Anolis sagrei: one gene and its partner. The protein of the gene in region 1 purifies or fractionates together with the protein of each later gene. This does not show direct contact. Links are inferred from orthologs where the notes say so. Each region holds a gene or a part of one and is shown on either strand. Other genes may lie near its edges.

Region 1 (7,641 bases):
CTTGATAATCTGGGATATAGGACTGTGTGGAGGGGGCCCGAGTCCACACTCAGATAATGTGGGATTTCCTGACCTTCATATTCAGGGATATAGGGCTGTGTGGAGGGGCCCTAAGTGTACACTCAGATAATGTGGGATTTCCTGACCCTGATGTTCTGGGATATAGGACTGTGTGGAAGGGCCATGAGTTCACACTCAGATAATGTGGGATTTCCTGCCTTGATGTTCTGGGATATAGGACTGTGTGGAAGGGCCCTGAGTCCATACTCAGATAATGTGGGATTTCCTGCCTTGATATTCTGGCATATAAAGCTGCGTGAAGGGCCCTGAGTCCACATTCAGATAATGTGGGATTTCCTGACCTTGATGTTCTGGGATATAGGACTGTGTGGAGAGGCCCTGAGTCCACACTCAGATAATGTGGGATTTTTTGCCTTGATATTCTGTGATATAGGGCTGTGTGGAAGGGGCCTGAGTCCACACTCAGATGTGGGATTTCCTGCCTTGATATAGGACTGTGTGGAAGGGCCCACAGTTGCAGACTCAGGCAAGCAGTGGCCATGTTTGTTTACTGGACAAGAACAAGAAATCCTGGGGCAGTTGGCAATTCTTTCTGAATTGCTGTGTATAGCTCCCCTCTAAACACGAGTTCCCTTGGGCAAGGAGCTTTTGCCATGCCTCGCTCCAAAATGGAGACCATAATGATATGAATTGGTCTCCTTGCCCAATCTTAACTAGGTTTGACCCAAGATTAAATGGGGGAATCTGTTGGCTTTGGGATGTGTAGGCCCCGCTTTCTGCTATGGCGACGGCCCTCCTTTGGCGCCCCCTGTTGGGCGCGCGAGAGGAAAGGCCTGGAAACAGAGAGAGAGAGAGGCAGGGAGGGAAGGGGCGCGCGCTCGCCCGCCCCAATGGAAATCCCCGCCGCGGGAGGAGGAGGAGGAGGAGGAGGAGGAGAGAGAGCAGCAAGCAGGAGGCGAGCGGGGGAGGCTGATTAAATTCTTCCCGGGAAGGGATTAACGGGCCAGGCAAAGGCTCAGCCCCGCCGCCGCTCTTCTGCTCCAGGCCCGAGGAAAGGGCCGCTCCGGGGAGCACTTCTTCCCCCGCCCAAAAGGGGCAGCCGTGGGTGCAGCTCTACACTGTAGAAGTAATGCAGTTTGACCCCGCTTTGGACTGCTAAGGCTCAATGCTGCGGAAGCAAGGTAGTCTTTAGTCTCCTCTGCCAAAGGAGGAGTGCTGCTGCCTCGCCAAACTACAACTCCCATGGTGCCACAGCACTTAAAGTAGGGTCATACTGCGCGGATTCCACGATTCTCGTGGCAGCGTCCCGGAGAATGTGTTGGAGCCAAAGGAGAGAAGTAACGTCCCCCACGGAGCATGGGAATAGTGTGCCTGGAGACCCCTCACACCCAGGGGAGCTCTCCCCTGAGTGGGTCCGTCCCGCGTGGATTTAAAGTGGATTCAATCTCTACTGTGATGAAGTCCATAGTCACTTAAGAGACCCCGAGTCACACTTCTCTTTCTTGCAAAGGTTTTCCAGCCTCGAGCAACTCACGCGAGGACACTGCGTGGGTGCCACTACCTGGCTGGCTGCTCTCCAGGAGGGGAAGGGGCCCGACCTGCCCGAGGGAACTCTGCGTGGCCTCTTCGACCCCTTTCCCACGCTCCTTCGTAATGGCACCGTGAGCTCCCCACTTCTTTCCATCCCCACCCCACTTTCCACTGTGGAGTGGAAAGGCAAAGGGTCTTTCCACTCCACGCGAGGAAGACCCCCTCCCTTTCGGCGCGCCAACTTCCCGCCGTAACCCTTTGCGGGCAGAGGATGCGTCTACACTGTGGCACGAACGCAGTTTAGCTCCCAGGGCTCATTGCTATGGAGGAGTACTTTGCACTGCTCGGTAGAGAGGGCGAAAGACCTCGTGAAACTACAACTCCCATGACTCCACAGCCTTAAAGTGGCCACAAACTGCAGAACTACCTCTATTATGGTGATGAGCATCCACCTGCTCCTCAAGGACAGAAGAGAGGGATCCTCTCTCTCTATTTCTCTCTCTGTCTCCATCTCCATGCGAACCAAAGGCAGCCTGGGAGGGTCTGCTCCCTCCAGTCCCCAACTCTCCCCCATTGTTCCCCCTCGGATCCGTCCCCAGCCAAGCAAGCAAGGAAGCAAGCAGGCCCGGCTTCGCCTGCGGGGCAACGGGGGTCCGCCACCGCCCTTCGCCGGGAGATGGCCAAGAACAAAAGCGCCCCGAGCCCGCTCCTTCTTCCCTTCCTCCCTCCCTCCCTTCCCTTCCCCTTCTTTACCTGCTGCAAGGCCGCCAGCACCATCAAGAGAAGCGGCGGCAGGATCCTCCGCCTCGGCGGCGCGGCTCCCGCTATCCGGCACATGGAGGCGAGGGAGAGGAGGGGAGAGGGACCCACGGAGGAGGGAGGAAAAGTCCACGGGGCGAGGGTCTTCCTTCCTTCGGGTGATGGAGTCTCCTCCCGGCACTTCGAGGGGGGCCTTATTCCACGCACAAAAGGCGGCGCAGCAGGAGGAGGAGGAGGAGGGCCGAGGAAGGAGATCAACACAGGCGCTGCTGGGTATATTCCACGGGCGATAATAAGATCCTTTCTCCTTGCTCTTCTTCCTTCTGCAGAGCGACGAGCTGGCTTCCTTTTTTTCCTCCCTCCCTCCCTTCTTCCCTCCTTTTCAGTGCGCCTTGGCGCTGCTGCCTCTCCGGCACCGGCTCTGCTGCTGTTTCTGCTGCATGCTTGCCTCCGTCTCCACTTCCTCGCCTCGCTTCCTTCCCCTCCTCCGTGGGTAGAAAGGATAACAATACCGTAGCAAATAGCAGCAGCCCCTGCTTCTTCTTCTTCTCTCTCGGTGTGTGTGTCTCTCTCTCTGCTGCTGCTGCCTCCTCCGTGCGCGCGCCTTGTGCGCCGCCGCGGCTGGCCTTGTGCGCGCGCCTCGCCTTGTGCTTGGCGGCTGCTGGCAGCTTCACCACCTCTTTTCCTCCTCCTCCTCCTCTTCCTCCTCCTCACTGTCTCTCTCTTTCTTTCTCTCTCTCTCTCTCTCTTTGCCGGCCGCACGGACCAATGGGAAAACACCGGCTCCAGCTCAGTCCCAAGCCCTTTTGGACGAAGCAAACGCCCACCATTTATTTATTTTGTTGTTATTGTTGTTTTCTTTGCTCCCCCTGAGCAAAAAGGGTGGGAGAATGGAGGAGTTTATCTTGAGTCCTGAAAGAAAGAGAAAAAGAGGGTCCCAACAAAGCCCCTCCATATATACATACACACACACCCGACTTTTATTCTTTCTTTGTGTGTTAGAAGCAATGACTTGGGTGTTAGGAACAATGACTCCACCTAACCCTATAATGTTAGTTTCAACACAACACAGGGCTGGGAGTATGGAGGGGTTTATCTTGAGCCCTGAAAGAAAGAGAAAAAAGAGGGTCCCAACAAAGCCCCTCCATACATACATACATACACCCTCCCCACACACCCGACTTTTATTCTTTCTTTGTGTGCTGGAAGCAATGACTCGAGTGTTAGGAACAAGACTCCACCTAACCCTATAATGTTAGTTTCAAAACACAACACAGGGCTGGGAGTATGGAGGGGTTTATCTTGAGCCCTGAAAGAAAGAGAGAAAGAGGGTCCCAACAAAGCCCCTCCATACATACACACACTCTCCCCACATATATACACACCCGACTTTTATTCTTTCTTTGTGTGTTAGGAACAATGACTCCACCTAACCCTATAATGTCAGTTTCAACACAACACATGTAGTAGGACTTCTAAGCGTGGACAAAGCCACGAAAGAGAGGGACCAACCCATCAAAGCCCCCTACCCATACACACACACACACACACGGCTTTTCCTCCTTTGTGCTTTTTTTCTCCCTTTGTGTTGGACAGAAACAGAATAGCTTCTTATCCCAACCCTATCCTGCCAGTTTCAACACAGGTGAGGGCAGAGCCATGAAAGAGAAATGGGGAGAAAGAAAAAAAACGTGGGTCTGTGGAGCCGACCCCTCCCACATACATACACACCGGACTTTTCTTTGTGTTGGACAGGAAAAAGGATAGCTGCGCCAACTGAGCCTAACCCTATATAGTGTCAGGTGTAAGATAACACATCCTCGTCTGTGAGGTGTGGGCAAGAAGAAAAAGAGGGAAGGAATGTGGGTCTGGGGGACTGAACCCACCAAAGCCCCCTCCCCATACAGATAGACGTCCACATTGTTGTTTTTTTCTTTTTCTTTGCTGGAAACCTTGACTTATCCCAACCCTATAATGTTAGGACTTTGAGGTGATGGGAATAGACAAGTCCTTATTATTTGACGGGGGGGGGGGGGGGGTTCTCCACACAAGTCCACACCCAACATTTCTTTATTTCTTTGTGCTGGACAAGAAACCATTTAAATCCACAAGCAAAAGTACAGTCTAACGGGAAGGAAGAAATCATGAAAATGAAAAAAAAAATATGGCTACCAATATTTAAAAAACTCTAAAATCTGGGCAATAAAGAAAGAGTAACACTCAAAAAGCAGGGGATTTTCCAGACATGAATCAATCAGGGCCAGCTAACACCTCCCAACAAAGGATTTATGTATTTATTTATTTACTATACTTGTATACTGCCTTTCTCAGCCTTAGCGGTGACTCAAGGCGGTTTACAACAAGTCAGTACACATAACAACTAAATGCAGATTGAACATTAAAACAGTATAAAACCACAATAGAAGCAATAAAAATAATAAAAACCAGTGTCATTATCATCAGCGTCTCCTAGTTAAATAACGTTGTCCAAGTTCCATTGTCGAGTGATTCCATTTCCTGTGTTAGTTACTCTGCATTTGTAAACGCTTGCTCACATAACCATGTCTTAACTTGTCTCAGAAACATTAAGAGTGAGGGAGCCAATCTAATCTCCTTAGGGAGTGTGTTCCATAGTCGAGGGGCCACCACAGAGAAGGCCCTGTCACTCTTCCCCGCCAAACGTACTTGTGAAGAGGGCGGGATTGCAAGCAGGGCCTCCCCAGACGATCCTAAAGTCCTAGATGATTCATAAGGGGAGATGCGTTCTGGCAGGTAAATTGGGCCAGAACCCCAAGGCTTTGAAGCTGCAAGGCCATTCAATGCTAAAATGATCAAGGGCCTAGAGAACAAGCCCTATGAAGAGCGGCTTAAAGAGCTGGGCATGTTTAGCCTGAAGAAGAGAAGCTGTGAGGAGATATGATGACCATGTATAAATAAAGGAGACTAGGACACAGAACAATGGATTCAAACTACAGGAAAGGAGATTCCACCTGAACATGAGGAAGAACTTCCTGACTGTGAGAGCTGTTCAGCAGTGGAACTCTCTGCCTGGAGTGTGGTGGAGGCTGCTTTGGAGGCTTTTAAGCAGAGGCTGAATGGAGGGTGCTTTCAGTGTGATTTTCTTGCTTCTTGGCAGGGGGTTGGACTGGATGGCCCACAAGGTCTCTTCCAACTCTTTGATTCTATGATGAATCAAGATGGCCAATTGCAACATTCACATTTTCCTGAAGCAGACAAGAGTTCTTTCTCTCACCGTGGACATTCCACAGATATATAAACCTCACTTGCCTTGTTTCCAACCTCTGATGATGCCTGCCATAGATGTGGGTGAAATGTCAGGAGAGAATGCTTCTGGAACATGACCTTACAGCCCAGAAAACTCACAGCAACCCAAACAATGACTTGTTTACTCTAACCTATAGTGTCAGTTTCAACATATCACACAGGTCTTGGAAGGGTAGGGAATAAACAAGTCCTTTTTGCTATTTGTCGGGGTGGGAACCTCTGCCTGAAGCCTCATCCATACATATAATAATTTCTGTTCATTTACAAATACATGCCCAACTTATTTTTCTTTTGTGTGGCGGACAGAACCAGAATGACTTCTCCCAACCATATAGTTGCAAACATAACACAAAGACTTGTGGGTATTCTGGGCTGTATGGCCATGTTTCAGAAGCATTCTCTCTTGATGTTTTGCCCACATCTATGGCACGCATCCTCAGAGGTCGAAGAGTTTGTTGGAAACAAGACAAGTGGGGTTTTATATATCTGTGGGAATGTCCAGGGTGGGAGAAAGAACTCCTGTCTGCTTGAGGCAAGGGCAAATGTTGCAATTGACCACCTTGATTAACACTGAATGGGCTTGCAGCTTCAAAGCATGGCTGTTTCCTGCCTGGGGGGAATCCTCTGTTGGGAGGTGATTAGCTGTCCCTGATTGTTTCCTGTCTGGAATTACCCAGTTTTTTTTAGTGTTGCTCTTTGTATACTGTTCTGTCTGTAGACAGTCCACATTTCTCAGGCGTATAGCAGGGTTGGGAGGACAATGGCTATATAAACAAGCACCTTGGTCTCCCTACTGATGTCCCGGTCCTCAAACACTTTGTGCTCCATTTGGAAAAATGCTGCAGAGCTCAGGCGGTGTTGTATTTCAGTGTCAGTGTTGATTTTTGTGGAGAGGTGGCTGCCAAGGTAGCGGAAATGGTCAACAGTTTCTAATGTTACACTATTCAGTTGTATTACTGGCATTGGAGCGGGATTGGCTGGTGACTGCTGGAAGAGCACTTTGGTTTCCTCAACATTGAAAGGCCAAGCTTCTCTTGTGCTCCTGCAAAGGTGTTTAGAGTGGCTTGTAGGTCTTCTGAATGCACACATATGACCATGTCATCAGCATATTGGAGTTATATAACAGATGTTGTTGTGACCTTGGTTTTGGCTTTCATTCTGCTGAGGTTAAATAGCTTGCCATCTGTCTGATAGATGATTTCCACTCTGGTGGGAAGCTTCCCATCAACAAGATGAAGTATCATAACGATCGTTGGGGCAATAACACAACCCTGTTTGACACCTGATTCCACCTTAAATAATACATTGAGGGCGTGGGGAGGTGGAGGGGGAATAAGTGGGTGAGCGAAGTCAGCTTTTCAATACTTGAAGGGACCTCGCCTCCACAGTTTGAAACTGCATTATATGGTCAATGTGTACTCATATAATGTAGCTTATTGAGCTGCTAGACCAGCTAAAGCCCCCTCCCCACAAAAACACGCCAATCCACGCCTGGATTCGATGTATATTGGAATCAGAATGACTTCTCCCAATGCTGTAGAGCCAGTTGCAAGATAAACATACGCAGGATTTGGAGGTGGTGGGAATAAACAAGTCCCTTTTTATTATCTGAGGGGGTGAGAATGCTGGGCTAATGTGAGAAATGCCTATGCAAAGTGGGGAAAATAAGGGAAGGGGGGAAGAAGGGAGGTGTAATTACTTAGGCAATCCCCGATCCCTCATAGTTCGAGGATGATTGTCTTTCAGATCTGGTGTCTTGGCGGTGGGTCCATAGGTAGCTGTGCAGCCCTCTTCTTGATCCGCATTTTCTCCCACAGTAAGGACCTCAGTTTCCAGACAGAAGGCAGTCCCGGTCAGGGTTGGCTTGATGCACCTTCCTCTTGGCATGTTTCTCTCTTTCTCCCTACATTTGTGCCTCTTCGAATTCTGCAGCACTGCTGGTCACAGCTGACCTCCAGTTAGAGCGCTCAAGGGCCAGGGCTTCCCAGTTCTTGGTGTCTATGCCGCAGTTTTTGAGGTTGGCTTTGAGCCCATCTTTAAATCTCT
Region 2 (7,628 bases), on another chromosome or scaffold:
TCTCAAGCTTCCTTTGTGTGAAGGGAGGAGATTGTTTCTTTCACACAGGCAGAAATGCAGAATCTCTAGCATTTCAGAAAACATTATTATACTGCCGGGCGGGTGACTGCCGGAACTGGCCCACCACACACTGTGCTGTGGTGAGACCCCGAAGGTATGAAACCCCTCCCCTGCTCCTTTTTGAAGTGCCTTTGTGTTCATGCTCCGGAGGGAGACAGCCAAGCTGTTTTGTAAGGGGCTTGGTATGGCCCTGGGAGAGTGAGAGAGTTATGACCGCAATTCCACAGCATTATCTACCTCGGAGGAACAAGAGAAGGCACAAAATGGCACGGAGGAGCCAGTCCAGGAATGCAGCCGGCTCCTCCAACAGCTGCCTTCTAAATTCTCCCCTCCTTTTGGAATTCTGTCCATTTGCTACCATTATGTGGTAGAACGAACGCAAAGGCTGTGACAATTGTCCCCTTGCTCTTTGTATCTTAGTCTGGCAGGAACATCTTCCATAGGATCCAGGATCAACTGGGACTGCTTTTTCTGTACCAAGCTGGACCTCCTAACCCTCCAAACACCGGGAAAAGATTCACAGACCTTATTAGCACATCATACTGAACAGGAGTTTAACAAAGACAGGTCTGTGCCCTAATGAAGACACAGCCTTCATTAGGGAGGTAGTAGGAAGACAAACTGGATGGACATCAGTAGAGACAGCTCAATCCAGGGTGGATCTCACAGGCAAGAAAGATACAGATGAATGCTAGACAAGGACCTTTTCCAGGACAGAGATGTTTGAAGCTAAATAAGGGCCTTTCCACACGGCACTATATCCCAGAATATCAAGGCAGAAAATCCCACAATATCTGCTTTGAACTGGGTTATCTGAGTCCACACTCAGATAATGTGGGATTTTCTACCTTGATATTCTGGGATATAGGGTTCTGCGGAAGGGCCCTACGACTCAAGATAAGTCCAGGCTGCCAGGGCTTCCCACGATTCAAGGCACAATCCTGGGATGCACTGAATGCCGATAGGATTATGGCCCAATGCTATGGGATCATGAGATGTGTAGTTTTGCAAGGGGCTCATCGAATGCCATTTGAAACGGCTTTCACTGCCATTACAGCCCAATGTCATGGGGTTGTGGGATGTGTAGTTTTACAAGCGTCTTCTGCCTTCTCTGCCATGCAATGTTTGTGCCACACCAAACTACAACTCCTTGGATTCTGTTGCACTGAGCCATGGCAGTTAAAGCGGTGTCAAACTGCATTAATTCTGCAATACACATACACATACACACACTAAAGAGATACATAAACTCCAGATTAATCACAGCAGATGACCCCTCCTTTAACTAGAGCAGGCGAACTTGGGCCCTCCAGGTGTTTTGGACTTCAACTGTTACAATTCCTGTACTCAGGCCCTTTAAGCAGCCGAGGGGGAAAAGGAAGGGGCCTGAGGCTGTTAGGAATGATGGGAGTTGAAGTCCAAAACACCTGGAGGGCCCAAATTGGCCCATGCCTGCACTAGAGACTCCTAAGGCCAGGTCTCTCTTTGCCATTCAGCTCAATGGGCCACCAAGGAGGGGCAGCTCTAAGAAACCTTAAGCCAAACTCCCAAGCTTGGGACGCAAAGCAAGTTGGTAGAAGACACAATGCAGTGAGCCAAGCTCCACCCCAGGACCCTGAGAGCGACCCACACATCCCTTCGCCTGAGGCCAAGAGGCCCACGCCCTCCAAAGGGAGGCTCAGCCACCAGCACCGTCTCTTTCTTTTGTGTGCATGCATCTACACTGGGGAATGGACACAGTTTGGCACCACCTATTGGGGCTCCAGGTTTGGGGAGTGGCCCTCCTTGGCAGAGAAGAGTGAAGACCTTGGTGAAACAACCAGTCTTAGGAACCATGGCAAAGAAAGTAGTTTCGAAGTGCATTCATTCCACAATGTAGATGCACTCTGCTGTTCAGCAGTGGAACTCTCTACCCCGGAGTGTGGTGGAGGCTCCTTCTTTGAAGTCTTTTAAACAGAAGCTGGATGGCCATCTGTTTGGGGAGCTCTGAATGTGATTTTCCTGCTTCTTGGCAGAAAGGGGTTGGACTGGATGCCCCACGAGGTCTTTTCCAACTCTTACGATTCTATTGAAAAGCTGGCCAAGACTTCACCCCCTTTATACCATTTCAGCTTGATGCCTTTTAGCAAACCTGGGCCCTCCAGGAGTTTTGGACTACAACTCCCGCAATTCCTAACAGCCTACCGGCTGTTAGGAATTGCGGGAGTTGTAGTCCAAAACACCTGGAGGGGCCAAGTTTGCCCTTGCCTTGGTCTACACTCAACATGGAATGCAGTTCCAACCCGGTGCAGTTCTATGCTGGAGCAGATCCAGCCAGAGTTGGCTTTGCACTTCCCCCTCCTCCCCTTCGGCGCTTGGCTTACCTTTGCTTCCTTCTCTTCCTCCAACTCTTCCTTGCTTCTAGTCTTCCTTGACCAATTATTATTCTCCTTTCCTTCCTTCCTTTTCTGCTTAGGAATCGAGTTGGAACTTTCTTAAGGTTTCGAAACAAGAGAGAGAGAAAGGAGTGTGTCTTGAGTTTTCCAGGCTGCCTTTCTTCGCAGAGAGCCACCAACTCTGCTCTCTCTCGCGCGCGCGCGCGCTCCCGTTGTCTCGCGCTCCCTCTCCCTCTCTTGACAACTTCCCTTGGACTGGGCTTGCCTTTGCAAGACCCGCGCGCGTGCAGTTGCCTAACAAAGAATTTAAAGCGCCCCACTCCTTAAAAGAGAAGGAAGAGAGAGAAAAAAAACAATGGAATGGAGGGGGGGAGGTAATGTAGGACTCCCCGCCTGCTCCTCTTCCTCCTCCTCCTCCTCCTCTTCCTGCGGGACTTTTCTCTCCTGGCTGGCTTGCTCTCTTTCTTTCTTTGCTTCTCCCCCTTCCTTCTTCCTTCCCTCCCTCCCTCGCTCGGCTCCAACACCTAAAATGGAAGTTGCGCCCAGCCAAAGGCGAGGCAAAGAGGGAGGGGAGGGAGGGGAGGGGAGGGAGGACCGGACCCCCCTCTTTCCCGGAGTGATGTCAGCTCCCGCCCGGCTCCAATGGGAAGCAGGCATCAATCAGGGAGCCCGCCGTCCAATAGGAGATACCATTGTAGCATTTGAGGGGGGGAGGAAGGGAGAGAGGGAAATGGGACAGGACTCACCCAGAAAAGAAAAAGGAAAGAAGGGGGAATGGCAAGGGGCAACTTCTTTCTGCAAAGGCTGTAAAACAAAAGACATCTATGTTCCTGGCAAATCCCAAAGGAAGGAAAACTTCTTTCAATGGGGAATGGGTGTCGTTTCTTCCCATTCAGGGGTAGAATCAGAGAATGATAGAGCTGGGCCAACCAGTCCAACCCCTTTCTGCCAAGAAGCCGGAAAATTGCATTCAACGCACCCCTGACAGATGGCCATCCAGCCACTGTTTAAAAGGAGCCTCCACCACACTCCGGGGCAGAGAGTTCCACTGTTGAACAGCTCTTACAGTCAGGAAGTTCTTAGAATTACAGAATCCCAGAGTTGGAAGAGATCTCGTGGGCCATCCAGTCCAACCCCTTTTGCCAAGAAGCAGGAAAATTGTATTCAAAGCACTCCTGACAGATGGCCATCCAGCCTCTGCTCAAAAGCCTCCAAAGAAGGAGCCTCCACCACACTCCAGGGCAGAGAGTTCCGCTGCTGAACAGGTCTCACAGTCAGGAAGTTCTTCCTAATGTTCAGGTGGAATCTCCTTTCCACAGCCATGAACTGTAGGAGCCATAGAATCATAGAATTGGAAAAGACCTCGTGGGCCATCCAGTCCAACCCTCTGCCAAGAAGCACAAAAATGGCATTCAAAGCACCCCCGACAGATGGCCATCCAGCCTCTGCTTAAAAGCCTTCAAAGAAGGAGCCTCCACCACACTCTGGGGCAGGGAGTTCCACTGCCGAACAGCTCTCACAGTCAGGAAGTTCTTCTGACTGTGTAGCTAGCTACACTAGAATTAATGCAGTTCGACACCACTTTGACTGCCATGGCTCATTGCTATGGAATCCCGGGGTTAGTAGTGTTGCAAGGCTTCTCACCTGCTCAGCCAAAAACTGGGGTGCCCCACCAAGCTACAACTTCCATAGCATTAAGCCACAACAGTTGTAGTTGGTGTCAAACTGCATCCTTTCTACAGTGTAGATCAAGCATAGACACCCGGCCCTTCCACACAGCCCTATATCCCAGAATATCAAGGCAGTAAACACTACATCTGTGTGGATTCAGATAACCCAGGGCCCTTCCGGACAACCCTGTATCCCAGAAATATTATAGGTATTATTATTATTATTATAGGTAAAGGTTGTCCCCTGACATTAAGTCCAGTCATGCCCGACTCTGGAGGTTGGTGCTCATCTCCATTTCTAAGCTGAAGAGCTGGCATTGTCCGTAGACACCTCCAAGATCATGTGGCCGGCATGACTGCATGGAGTGCTGTCACCTTCCCGCCAGAGTGGTACCTATTAATCTACTCACATTTGCATGTTTTTGAACTGCTAGATTGGCAGAAACTGGGGCTGACAGCGGAAGCTCACGCCACTCCCTGGATTCAAACCTGCGACCTTTCAGTCAACAAGTTTTGCAGCTCAGTGGTTTAACCCACTACGCCACTGACACAAAAACACAGTATGACACAGCAAACGAGATATATATTCTGGATTTCATATCACAAAATCATTATTATTGTTGTTGTTGTTATTATTAATCCCCAACAATACTAATTCTGATTTCATTTGAGCCCAGCTTTTAAAATACGAACTAACATCCTATTAATTTTAATCCCAATGTTTATTTATTCTGGCTTTCTTACAGGACCACCACATTTTTATTCCTTTGTATCCTTGATTTTAGGAAGGAAAGAAACGAGGATGCTACACTGCCTGTAACAAAAGGAACATAAGTTTAGATTTCTACAGCCTTTACATTATTACTTTTATAAATGCATTCAGATTTAGAGACAGCATCGTGCAGCATATTTGTGATGTGCAATCAAGTCTTGATTAGAATTGAGAAGCATTGTTAATGGACAGCAACTGGCAGGCTTTATTTTGCATCTTATTATGAAAATATATTCAAGATTACAATGAGCAATTTACCTTCCCCACCTTCCCCACACCACTTTTCTATTGATATATAGACAGATAGATATATAGTCAGTAATGAGACAAGTATATTTGGAATACTTGCTGAGATATTTTTCATTTTGGCTCCCAAGAATGAACAGTGTTTGTCACCCATCGATTAATGGTGACTCCATACATTTCATAGGAGGTTCTTCAGCTATATAGGGCTTACAGATACAAAGGAAAACAAAAGTGTTGCAACTTCAATAGTTGCACAGGATTTTTTAGCCCATGTTTTTGTCATGCAAGTTATGCATGCTGAAGCACCTTCTTATATGCAATATGTTGGAGCCCCCAGTGGCATAGTGGGTTAAACTGCTGAGCTGCTAAACTTGTTGACCGAAAGGTTGCAGGTTCAAATCTGTGGAGCAGCATGAGCTTCTGCTGTCAGTCCCAGCTTCTCCCAACCTAGCAGTTCAAAAACATGCAAATGTGAAAAGGTCAATAGGTACTGCTCCAGCGGGAAGGTAACCGCACTCCATGCAGTCATGCAGGTCACATGACCTTGGAGGTGTCTACGGACAATGCCGGCTCTTCGGCTTAGAAATGGAGACGAGCACCAACCCCCTGAGTCGGACACTACTGGACTGAATGTCAGAAGAAAACCTTTACCTTGACCTTTGCTAAGTTGCAGGAGACCTATCCTCTTTTTTATGTTCTTCTTTTATTTCTGTTCATATTCTTTGTTTTGGTATCAGGTAATTTTAATTTTGCATTTATAAAACACGAAATATCATCTTGTTGTCTAAATTTATGGGCAAGTACAGGAAGTAGGAGCACTGTGGTGTTCTGTTTTCTGTGTGTCGCCACAGAAACCCACTAGGTCACTTTGGGTATAACCTCCGAGGAAGACAATGGCAAACCCCCGCTGAATGACTCTTGCTGGGAAAGCCCCATGGTGGGTTCCCTTTCAGGGAGTTGGAAACACCTTGAAAGTAAACAACAACCTGGTAATTCAAAATGGAACACCATCAAGGTTTTTTGTGCCTTGGTCATTTGAAAAGAAAGCTTGAGATATACATATTTTTGCTTTCAGGTTGTTACATGGCTTCCGGTTTGTTTCTACTTGGGCAACTCTATTGTACATTTTTCTTGGTCAAGTTTGCTTTTGCCTTTCTCTGAGGCCCAAGATCACCCAATGGATTGCTACAGCTGAGCAGGGATTCAAACTCTGGTTTCCTGGAGTCCTAGCCCAACACTCAGACCATAACACCATATCCTCCCAATGTTTCACGGATGAAAAGTAGAGCACATATGGCCAAACAACAAAATATGGTCAGGCTACCAAAAGTTATAACTGAGGAAGAGCATTCTTCTTGTTGCTGGAGAAATGTTTAGAGGAGTGGTGGTTCTCATGAAAGTTTTCCTTGATTTAAGTCTACTGAGAAGAGGCTTATAGCCATATTGTGGGTGGCTTGGATTCAAGGGTGACATGTATGCCCACTTCGACTCACTTTTGTTCAATTTTGTCCAGTTATTTAATAATAATTATTTATATAACTTTTACCGAGGACAGCTTGAGAAGACATCCTAATTTTAATTGCATTTGGAGCTCATTTCACCACTTTAGCATGAACTTTGTACATTCCTGTAATATAAGCTAGGAAAGCTGTCATCACAAACCAGGGTTAACAGGATTAAAGCACTGTATCAGGACTTTCGAATAGCAAGGGTGAGTACAGTATATCATCTTTCCCCACCCTTCATTGTTCCCTCTTGATTGCTCAGCTGTAACCCTGAAAGTCGCTGGGAGATAAAATGCATTTTCCCAATAGCATTGTATTGTTGTGAGCTGTCCCTCTTGTAATGCAAAGTTTCTGGGAACGTTATCCTCTTGAAAGAGCTATTAAAACCCATTCGTTTTACAAAAGGCTTGTTGGTGGTGATAAAAAGCATCTGAGGATGCTTGCCATAGATGTGGGTGAAACATCAGGAGAGAATGCTTCTGGAACTTCCGAAACTCACAGCAACCCTGTGATAAAAAGTTTCCTGAAATGTATCTTTGCAGATCCCAGTATTTTGAGATTCTCTTATTGTAAGTGTGGCATTGAAACTGGTGGGTAACTGAGCTTCAGGATTGATCACTGCATGTGCATAATTTCTGTAACATTCAATGTTATACAACTTTTCCTATAAAACTGGCAATATGTATACTTCAAGAACATTTAACAGAATTATTATTCTCATTTTTATTATTATTTCTTGCCCACCTCTCCTTATGAGTTAAAAACATTAATACCAATTAAAGTACACAATCCGTTTTAAAAGCATACATATTAAAGTCAGCATTTTAACACTTGTAATTTAAAAACCATCTGAATACCCTGGGTTGTTTTAGGGTTTTCGGGCTGTATGGCCATGTTCTAGAAGCATTCTCTCCTGACATTTCGCCTACATCTGTGGCAAGCATCCTCCAGCCATGAAAGCCTTCGACAATACATCTGAATACACTTGCTGGAAAAGATT

What was found. Proteins that work in one complex are often made in the same cells at the same time.
Region 2: the proteins of CDH2 (region 1) and CTNND1 purify together in Homo sapiens (affinity purification with western blotting; 6 studies listed by BioGRID and IntAct, with this or other methods). This does not show direct contact. The link is inferred for Anolis sagrei from reciprocal best matches to the Homo sapiens genes CDH2 and CTNND1.

Annotation. Positions count from the first base shown.
Region 1 is NC_090024.1:57,239,949-57,247,589, reverse strand, and holds the start of CDH2 (cadherin-2), read right to left. Parts: upstream 3,011-7,641; 5' UTR 2,389-3,010; coding exon 2,305-2,388; intron 1-2,304. UniProt on the Homo sapiens protein: Calcium-dependent cell adhesion protein; preferentially mediates homotypic cell-cell adhesion by dimerization with a CDH2 chain from another cell. Cadherins may thus contribute to the sorting of heterogeneous cell types.
Region 2 is NC_090021.1:234,377,114-234,384,741, reverse strand, and holds the start of CTNND1 (catenin delta-1), read right to left. Parts: upstream 3,014-7,628; 5' UTR 2,424-3,013; intron 1-2,423. UniProt on the Homo sapiens protein: Key regulator of cell-cell adhesion that associates with and regulates the cell adhesion properties of both C-, E- and N-cadherins, being critical for their surface stability.